3 linked regions of the Kluyveromyces lactis genome follow. The protein of the gene in region 1 binds, or shares a complex with, the protein of each later gene. Links are inferred from orthologs where the notes say so. Each region holds a gene or a part of one and is shown in the gene's direction. Other genes may lie near its edges.

Region 1 (3,597 bases):
TTCAGGACGAATCGCAATGTCATTAGTCAGACATATTGTCGATAAAAGATCACCGCCGTAACTAATAAGTCGAAGAAATCATATATAGATACTATTTAAGGTAGCTTAGTGCAACGTTGATTGCAGATATGCAGCTTGCACAGTAATATTACCAAGAGTCAAGGGGGAACTATCTATTGTAATTGCATCGGACTAATCTTACATCAAACAACCATGAAGACCAATCCTGATATTGTATATACGAAGGCTCAAAAATTGATTGAACTCAATTTAGATAATAAATATGTTGCTATCGTAGGAGGAACGGGCGGTATTGGCCGTGAGTTGGCAAGAGTGTTGGCACAAAAGGGTGCTAAAGTCATCGTTGTTGGTAGAACGTTCAGAGACGAAAATGTTGAAGGTATTGAATTTATCCAGGCTGACCTAGGTTTGGTGTCAGAGGCATCCAGAGTTGCGGAATTGTTACCTGCTGAAAAGTTGGATCTTCTTATCTTCACTACGGGAGTTTTGGCTCCTCCAGCGAGACGTGAGACTAGCGAAGGTCTAGAAGAAGATTTGGCCGTCAGTTATATCAGCCGACTAGTGATGATGAATCATTTGGTACCCAGATTGAAGGAACATGGTGAGAAAAAACCTCGCGTATTTGTAATGGGTTTCCCCGGTGATAACTATATGGGAGATTATAGAGATTTGAATTCAGAAGAATCTTACGGAGCTATTTCCACACATATGAAAACAGTAGCCGGTAATGAAGCTCTAGTTTTGGACTTTAAGAATAGGTTTGCTACTGTCAATTTTTATGGGTTGAATCCGGGGCTCATCAGGACAAATATTAGAGATAATTACCTTGGTAAAGACACTTGGAAGTCAAGAGTGGTAGAATGGTTCATAGGTATGACAAATCAGACTGCAGAGCAATACGCTGAAAAGTTAGGCCCCTTGCTAGTTGCCCCAGAATTGGAAACTCATTCAGGCGCCATGTTTGACAAGAATGCTAACCCGATCCTTCCATCAAAAGATTTTACTGATGATTACGCCAGGAATTATATCAAGGCCTCAGAAGAACTTCTTGCAAATCTTAAGTTGGCTCAATGAATGACACTACCAACATCTGAAGCCACCGGCACTATTATCTAAGAATCCCGTTTTATTCCTATATTTTAGATACGTTAGTTTGTATGTAACCTAACTGTCGGGTATTTGCTGTGTCAGTTGCTGGTCATCACGTGATCAGTATCTTTATGTATTTTCCATTGTTTTGAAATTGGGTCTTTTCAACATGTAATCTAACTATCGAATGCCTGTCATTAACATAAACGTAAACATATGCATATCTTTCAAAGTACATCGTGAAAGAATTCAATAGACGGTATAAGCTGCGACACTTTCATCCATCCTAATTATATTTGGAACACCACGAGACCTTTCTGGCTGTTGAACAGGATACGTTTATTTGTTTATCTTCACATGCTGGAAAAATGGACTCCAGTACTAACTCATCTGTCACTGCTCAGGTGAATCCGGTGCCAGAATATGTCATAAAGAACCATGAGCTTTTTATTTTGAAAACCACATTATCAATACTCAATAACCCTGAATTACTCTCCGGCAGACTTGACAAGCCACCAACAAAGCAACTTGTACTACCTTCGTTCACCATTAAGGAAAGGTTATCAGACAACAATGACTCTTATGTTTTGGGAAAGGGTGATCAAAATGGGGAAACGAAGGTTGATAAACAAGGACGGTTACATGGAGAAAGGCATTACTTGTTTCCTACTTTCACTTATCCATGTGCGGAAAACAATAATTCGGAAAATTTGTACGTCTTAGTACGGGATTTGATTAGAGTCTTGAATCTAGATGTGGAACAACAAGAGTTTTTGGCTCAGCATCCAGACCTTTACCCAATTAATGCAAAACATGATATTATCGAATTTTTGACCCAGTATAAACTTTTACCTGAAGGTGCTACTGCTGCAACATATATCACAGCTAGATCTGCTTTTCTTGTCTTTGGAGCTGCTATACTAGCATCCGGATCAAGAGTGATAGATGATTACTGGGAACAACTATCCAAAGAACAGGGCTTCCAAGCGCAGCACAGAGTATACGCACTCTCTCAAAAACTTCTCGACATGGTATGTTCGATCGATCCAAGGACTAGAACAGCACATTCTTTAGGTCCACCTGAGCTTCCTGAATCGAAGCAAGCACAAGCGGGCGTTATGTCCACATCACAACCGCAATTCGAAGACCCGTTTTCAACCATTACGGAACTACCGCCTTTAGAAGCACGTAAAGAGTTCTTAAGTAATATTGCTCATGGTGAGCAAACTGCAATCATATCGGGTCAAACTATACATGGAGCAATCGAGTTGAGTACTATTTACAAAATTCCAAAATACCACTATAAGAATTCCTTCGCCGCTGCTCAACAACACAATGTTCTAGATTCCCCGATTGGAACGCACACCCACCCGGTAGAATCTCATAACTTTGGTAGAGGACGTAAAGCTAACTATGTTCCCCCGGAGGAGACAGATGTGTTGGCTCAAATTCCTGGATGGAAATTTACGCAGCTACCAGTTACAACAAATGATGAGTTACCTACAACTTTCAGTGCTGGAGGGTTACCGATATATAATAAGGCGAGACTTCCTGCAAGGTTAAAACTATTGACGCCAAACCAAATAAAAGATTTAGAACGATCCCATGATGTTGTTCATTTGAATACAGCTCTTGGCCATGTCCGAAAGTTAAGAAACACCCGTTGGACTAAATTTTGGCAGTATAAGGCCGGTGCACCTGTTGGCCTTACGGAGGATCAACTTTCGTATTACAAAGAGCAATATCTACAGCAAGTTTTGAACCATGTTGATGTGAGCATTGTGCCAAACGAAACGAAGAATGTAGATGAAAAGCGTACCGTTAAGCGAGTACCGAATCCAAATTTTTTGGGATACTCCAATGTGTCAGGGTTTAGGCCACCTTATGTTGAAAAACCTTAGAATAATAATGCAACTTCATCTATATCGAACTAAATACTGCTAGTAGAAAGCTATGCAATAAAGCTGCAGATATATATAGAGGATAATTCATTATAACAATTTAACTTTAACAATGTCTTGACGAATTTTGAAAGTGTAGTATGCCATAACTAAAACGATTAGTATTAGAGGCAAAATCCACATTAAGAGTCTCTTGACGATTTCGTCAACTGAAACGCCATTTCCAGCATTTTCCATGCTTTGTTTGGTGGCCTCTCTAATCTTTGCTTGATCCTGAAGTAATTGCTCCAACTTATCATTCATAACAAAGAGGTCCTTGAAGGATTCTGTATTTACTTCACCTTCTTTACCCATTGAAGCCACAATAACTTCTAAAGTAGTTGATAGATATTCTAGCTTTCTCAAGTGCGCTGCTTGATTTTCCAAGATGCCAATTAATTTACCGTTTATCACGCTGATGTCATTGGCTAATATCTTGCCCTCAATCTTATCCAATTTCTTGTAAAGTTCGTAGTTGTCCACCTTATTTGCTAAACCCTTCATTTTCATGAAATCTGTTTCTACAACGTCTTCTTTACCAGTATCC
Region 2 (2,476 bases), on another chromosome or scaffold:
GAGTGCATTACAACACAAATTATACCAACAGATGTTGAAGCATCGTAGGCTATTCATTTTTGATGATTCAAGTAACCAGAAGTTCTCTAGTTCTCGTGGGTTTAACAATCAAATCATGCAACTCAGGAAGATTTGTAATCATCCGTTCGTATTCGAAGAAGTGGAAGATCAAATCAATCCAGCAAGGGAAACGAACGATACCATTTGGAGAAGTGCCGGTAAATTCGAACTGCTAGAACGTATTTTACCAAAGTTCAAGGCTACCGGTCATAGAGTTCTAATTTTCTTCCAAATGACGCAAGTTATGGATATCATGGAAGATTTCTTGAGATATCTTGACATGAAATACTTAAGATTAGACGGTCATACTAAATCTGATGATCGTACTGCATTATTAAACACTTTCAATGCCCCAAACTCTGATTATTTCTGTTTCCTTTTATCTACAAGAGCTGGTGGTTTAGGTTTAAATTTGCAAACTGCAGATACCGTTATCATTTTTGATACTGATTGGAATCCTCACCAGGATTTACAGGCCCAAGACAGAGCTCATAGAATCGGTCAAAAGAATGAAGTGCGTATTCTTAGATTAATTACAGACAATTCAGTGGAAGAAGCAATTCTTGATAAGGCGCATGCCAAATTGGACATTGACGGAAAAGTTATTCAAGCAGGTAAGTTTGATAACAAATCAACAGCTGAAGAACAAGAGGCATTATTGAGATCGTTACTAGAAGCTGAGGAAGAGGAAAAGAAAAGACGTGAGTTAGGCATTGAAGAAGAAGAGCAGTTGGATGATAACGAACTCAATGAAATCTTGGCGAGAAACGAAAATGAAATAAAAGTATTCCAGGAGTTGGATGCTCAAAGGATCAGAACACAGATGGAAAACGGTATAACAAACAGACTTATGGAGAACTCAGAGCTTCCTGAATGTTACAATGTTGACATTGAAGCAAAGCTTGCAGAAGAGGAAAAGCAGAACGTGTTTGTTGGAGGAAGAGGTAATAGAGAGAGAAGAACTGCGCACTACTCTGATGAATTATCTGAAGAACAATGGTTAAGGCAATTTGAAGTCAGTGAAAATGAAGATGAAGAAGGTGACGCTGGCCCAAAGAGAAGGAGAAGGAGAGCCGCTGAAAATAATGCTAAAAGGGCAAAACTTGAGACAAACAAAGAACTTGACGGTCCAGCTACAGGAACGGAAAATACTCCTGTTTTAGATCCGCAAGAATCAAATGGAGACTCTGCTCCATCTGGTGTTATTGCCGGTAAAACTTCAATTAAGACTGCAAAGAAGACCAGCAAGGGTAGGAAGAAAACTTCAACTGCCGTTCGTAAGAATGGCAGAAACTATCTGCGTTCAGCAGATAATGCTACAAAAACTTTGAAAGAAAGACAAGAAATTAGTCAAAAAGCTCGTGAATTGTACGACTATGCTGTATACTATAGAAATGCCGATGATAGAAGACTTTCAGATATTTTCCTAGTGAAACCATCCAAACGACTCTATCCAGACTATTATTTGTTGATCAAATATCCTGCCGCATTTGAAAATGTCATGAAACACATTGATCTGAATGTTTATGATTCTTTGAAACAGGTTGTCGAAGATTTCCATTTGATTTTTGCCAACGCTAGAATATACAACACAGAAGATTCAATCATATTTAGGGACTCATTGGAGTTGGAAGATGCAGTGATCGCGAAGTGGAAAGAAATGACAAACGAACAAGAAGAGGTGGACTTTAGTGAATTTGATGAAGAGTTTGCAACTCCACCCTTGATACCACCATCTACACCTGTATAGTGTTTTTTTTTGGAAGAAGATCACGGAGACTACACTACATAAACTATAAAACATATAGCTAACTAAACACTAATTAAAAATGTAATCATACCTAACATAATAATAGATATTTGAAATTTCAATCCTTTTCCATGTAGGGCTGATAATCTTCGTAATGTTCAAACTAAAACGAATAGAAATCATATTAGACAGTTGGTGGAACAGGCCATGCCAATATAATAGGTGGTTAGCATTGGCTTTGCGTAACCGACACATGACAAAGCATATAAAGGAATACTGAGCCTAATCTACTGTTTGCTTGTAATCAGATCAAGAGGTCCCTGGTGTATTATTACTGCCGAAGATATACAGCCAACGGAGACCATTACACGTGACTTGTGGTCTCTGATGCCATAATAAAATAGGAAGGGCATAAATTTCTCCTTTTTCTTTTTATGACAACAATAAGCTTCTATGGCCAAGTTGGTAAGGCGCCACACTAGTAATGTGGAGATCATCAGTTCGACTCTGGTTGGAAGCATTTTTTTGAATTTAATAAATGCTCAAAAGAAAAAAGGCTGGCGTTTGGGCTTAATCTTTACAGCAAAAGAGTCCATATCCAGTTATCAAAACTGTTGTATTACATGTGCTACATGTGTTACTAATTGTATACCTGTATAAGTTTTT
Region 3 (2,015 bases), on another chromosome or scaffold:
GACGATGAGATAGAACCTTGAGAAACCTTAGAGAAACTTTTGATATGCAAAATGATTCGAAAAGAGAAATACCAGAAAAAAACCTGAAAAAAACCACAAGGCAAAGAGAATAAACAGCGGGTGGCTTAAGCCTGGATTCCTCTTAATACCTTGCCACTACTTAAGTTATCGACTAGATGAAGTATCAAACATCACAAGATTAACAAGATTTACTAGTTGGCATTAACGTCTATCAACAAAATGGATGGACATATTTGTATATATATTTAATACTTTATTTTGCAGAGAGTTACGTATTTTAAGATGGCTGCGGATTTAGTAAAGCAATTCGAAAAGAAAAGAACTAATATGGCAAGGAACAGTTTCGGTAATAAAGAGTTTCCAGTTGAAAGGTAACCGTTTTATGGTGGATTTTCTGATCGGACGTACTGCCAGCAGGGCCGAAAAGAAATGGGTGAGGTTCCTACGCTGGGAACTGGTCCGTCTTGTGACTTAAACCCACGAAAATATGCGGTAACTTGACTGAGAGAAACTGAGAGATGGTACGTTTTTCGTCTGGCTATGGAATTAGGTAGGAATTCAGTTTATGCGTCCTTCGTTGTGGCCTAAGGCTAAGAATTTGTTGGCTGAGCTTTTTCTATTGTAACTGAAAACATTGTTTGGGATTTCATAATGTGGGGGAATAATGTGAATCGATAGTTATAGTTATGTAATGGTGGCATTTTGAGGCGTTGAAGGGGTGGCAGTAAGGGAGGAAGAGCATTCGTCATCAAAGTGGCTGAGAAACTCTTGCTGTTTCTTTTTTATCAGTCACGTGTTACACACGTGACTGAATGTGTTTTAAACTTAGAAACTTATGTCCTATGAATAGGTGACCGTATAGAGCACGAGTGTCTAGTGTACATAGATATGGCAGCCCAGGGATTTTTGTGATCTTGGAGTGCCTTTAGTCGCTATTATGAACTGGATACTTAGTGGTTTTTTCGTTCCGCTTGAAAATAATTCAAATCACGTTTTAATTCGTCTTACTACTTTGACAGTGAAGGAAGTTCAAAGATAAAAAGATCGACTGACTGACGACTACGGAAAAGTACCCTGCACCCACCCTAGATCAGCATGACAGATCTAAACCCAGCAATAGACCTGAAATCAGACTCAGGAGTCTCACCAAAGCAGAAGCTACAATGGAAAATACAAGTGCTTCTTCATATCAACTCGATGTTGATCAAAAAATCCCAAGAAACAAGAACCATGTACGAAAGCAGACAGGTACCGACACTCGCGTCGCTGTCCAAAGAACAAATGGAACAAATACTAATCCAATATACGAAAAGAATACACTGTAACTTACATACAATATCTCAGATAAATCAAGGAAATCTAGCAGCAAAACCTCCTATCATGGACCCTCCTCCAAACCCATTTCTTTCAAACACTGCTTCAGCTCAGGAAAGACAACAGGATATGCTGGTCAAGATGTATCTATTAATGAATAGAATGTTCCAATTATGGTAGCTTCAACGAACACTGTGCGTACATTGTGTGTACACTGTGTGTACATACATAATATATAGATAAAACGCTCTCATTTTAACGCTCTCTGTAGTTACCTATAATAATACTTGCTCCATTCCGGTATCAGCACCGTATGCAGCAATGCAGCAATGAAGCATAGAACGATTGCGGTCCTTGATAGGCTTCCACAGACATCACCAGATGTTTATCTGTCTTCGATATTCCCTTTAATTCTCAAGTTTCCTGAATTTTTTTTCCGTCCGTGCCATCATGATATGACAATGGCAATTGCCATTGCCATTGCCATTATCAAATCCTCTCATATGGACAAATAAATATAAATATATACAAGTATGTCAATTACGTTAAACGTACTAGTGCTTCGTGAGTATATTTAGATTAGCACTGATTCTAATTGGTATTCTCATCGTTATAATATTAGATAGAAGATCAATCGATTGGACTGGGGGAATAGTTCCATTGTATGAGTGTTTAAATTT

The links.
Region 2: SWP82 (region 1) and SNF2 share a complex: the UniProt entries of both Saccharomyces cerevisiae proteins name them as parts of the SWI/SNF global transcription activator complex. The link is inferred for Kluyveromyces lactis from reciprocal best matches to the Saccharomyces cerevisiae genes SWP82 and SNF2.
Region 3: SWP82 (region 1) and SNF11 share a complex: the UniProt entries of both Saccharomyces cerevisiae proteins name them as parts of the SWI/SNF global transcription activator complex. The link is inferred for Kluyveromyces lactis from reciprocal best matches to the Saccharomyces cerevisiae genes SWP82 and SNF11.

The regions. Positions count from the first base shown.
Region 1 is NC_006040.1:503,324-506,920, reverse strand, and holds SWP82 (Swp82p), read left to right. Parts: upstream 1-1,478; coding exon 1,479-3,011; downstream 3,012-3,597. Other genes in the region: KLLA0_D05907g (putative short-chain dehydrogenase/reductase), read left to right, coding at 214-1,095; KLLA0_D05863g (uncharacterized protein), read right to left, coding at 3,102-3,597. UniProt on the Saccharomyces cerevisiae protein: Involved in transcriptional activation. Component of the SWI/SNF complex, an ATP-dependent chromatin remodeling complex, which is required for the positive and negative regulation of gene expression of a large number of genes.
Region 2 is NC_006038.1:745,000-747,475, forward strand, and holds the end of SNF2 (SWI/SNF catalytic subunit SNF2), read left to right. Parts: coding exon 1-1,810; downstream 1,811-2,476. UniProt on the Saccharomyces cerevisiae protein: Involved in transcriptional activation. Catalytic component of the SWI/SNF complex, an ATP-dependent chromatin-remodeling complex, which is required for the positive and negative regulation of gene expression of a large number of genes.
Region 3 is NC_006041.1:899,251-901,265, reverse strand, and holds SNF11 (Snf11p), read left to right. Parts: upstream 1-1,116; coding exon 1,117-1,515; downstream 1,516-2,015. UniProt on the Saccharomyces cerevisiae protein: Involved in transcriptional activation. Component of the SWI/SNF complex, an ATP-dependent chromatin remodeling complex, which is required for the positive and negative regulation of gene expression of a large number of genes.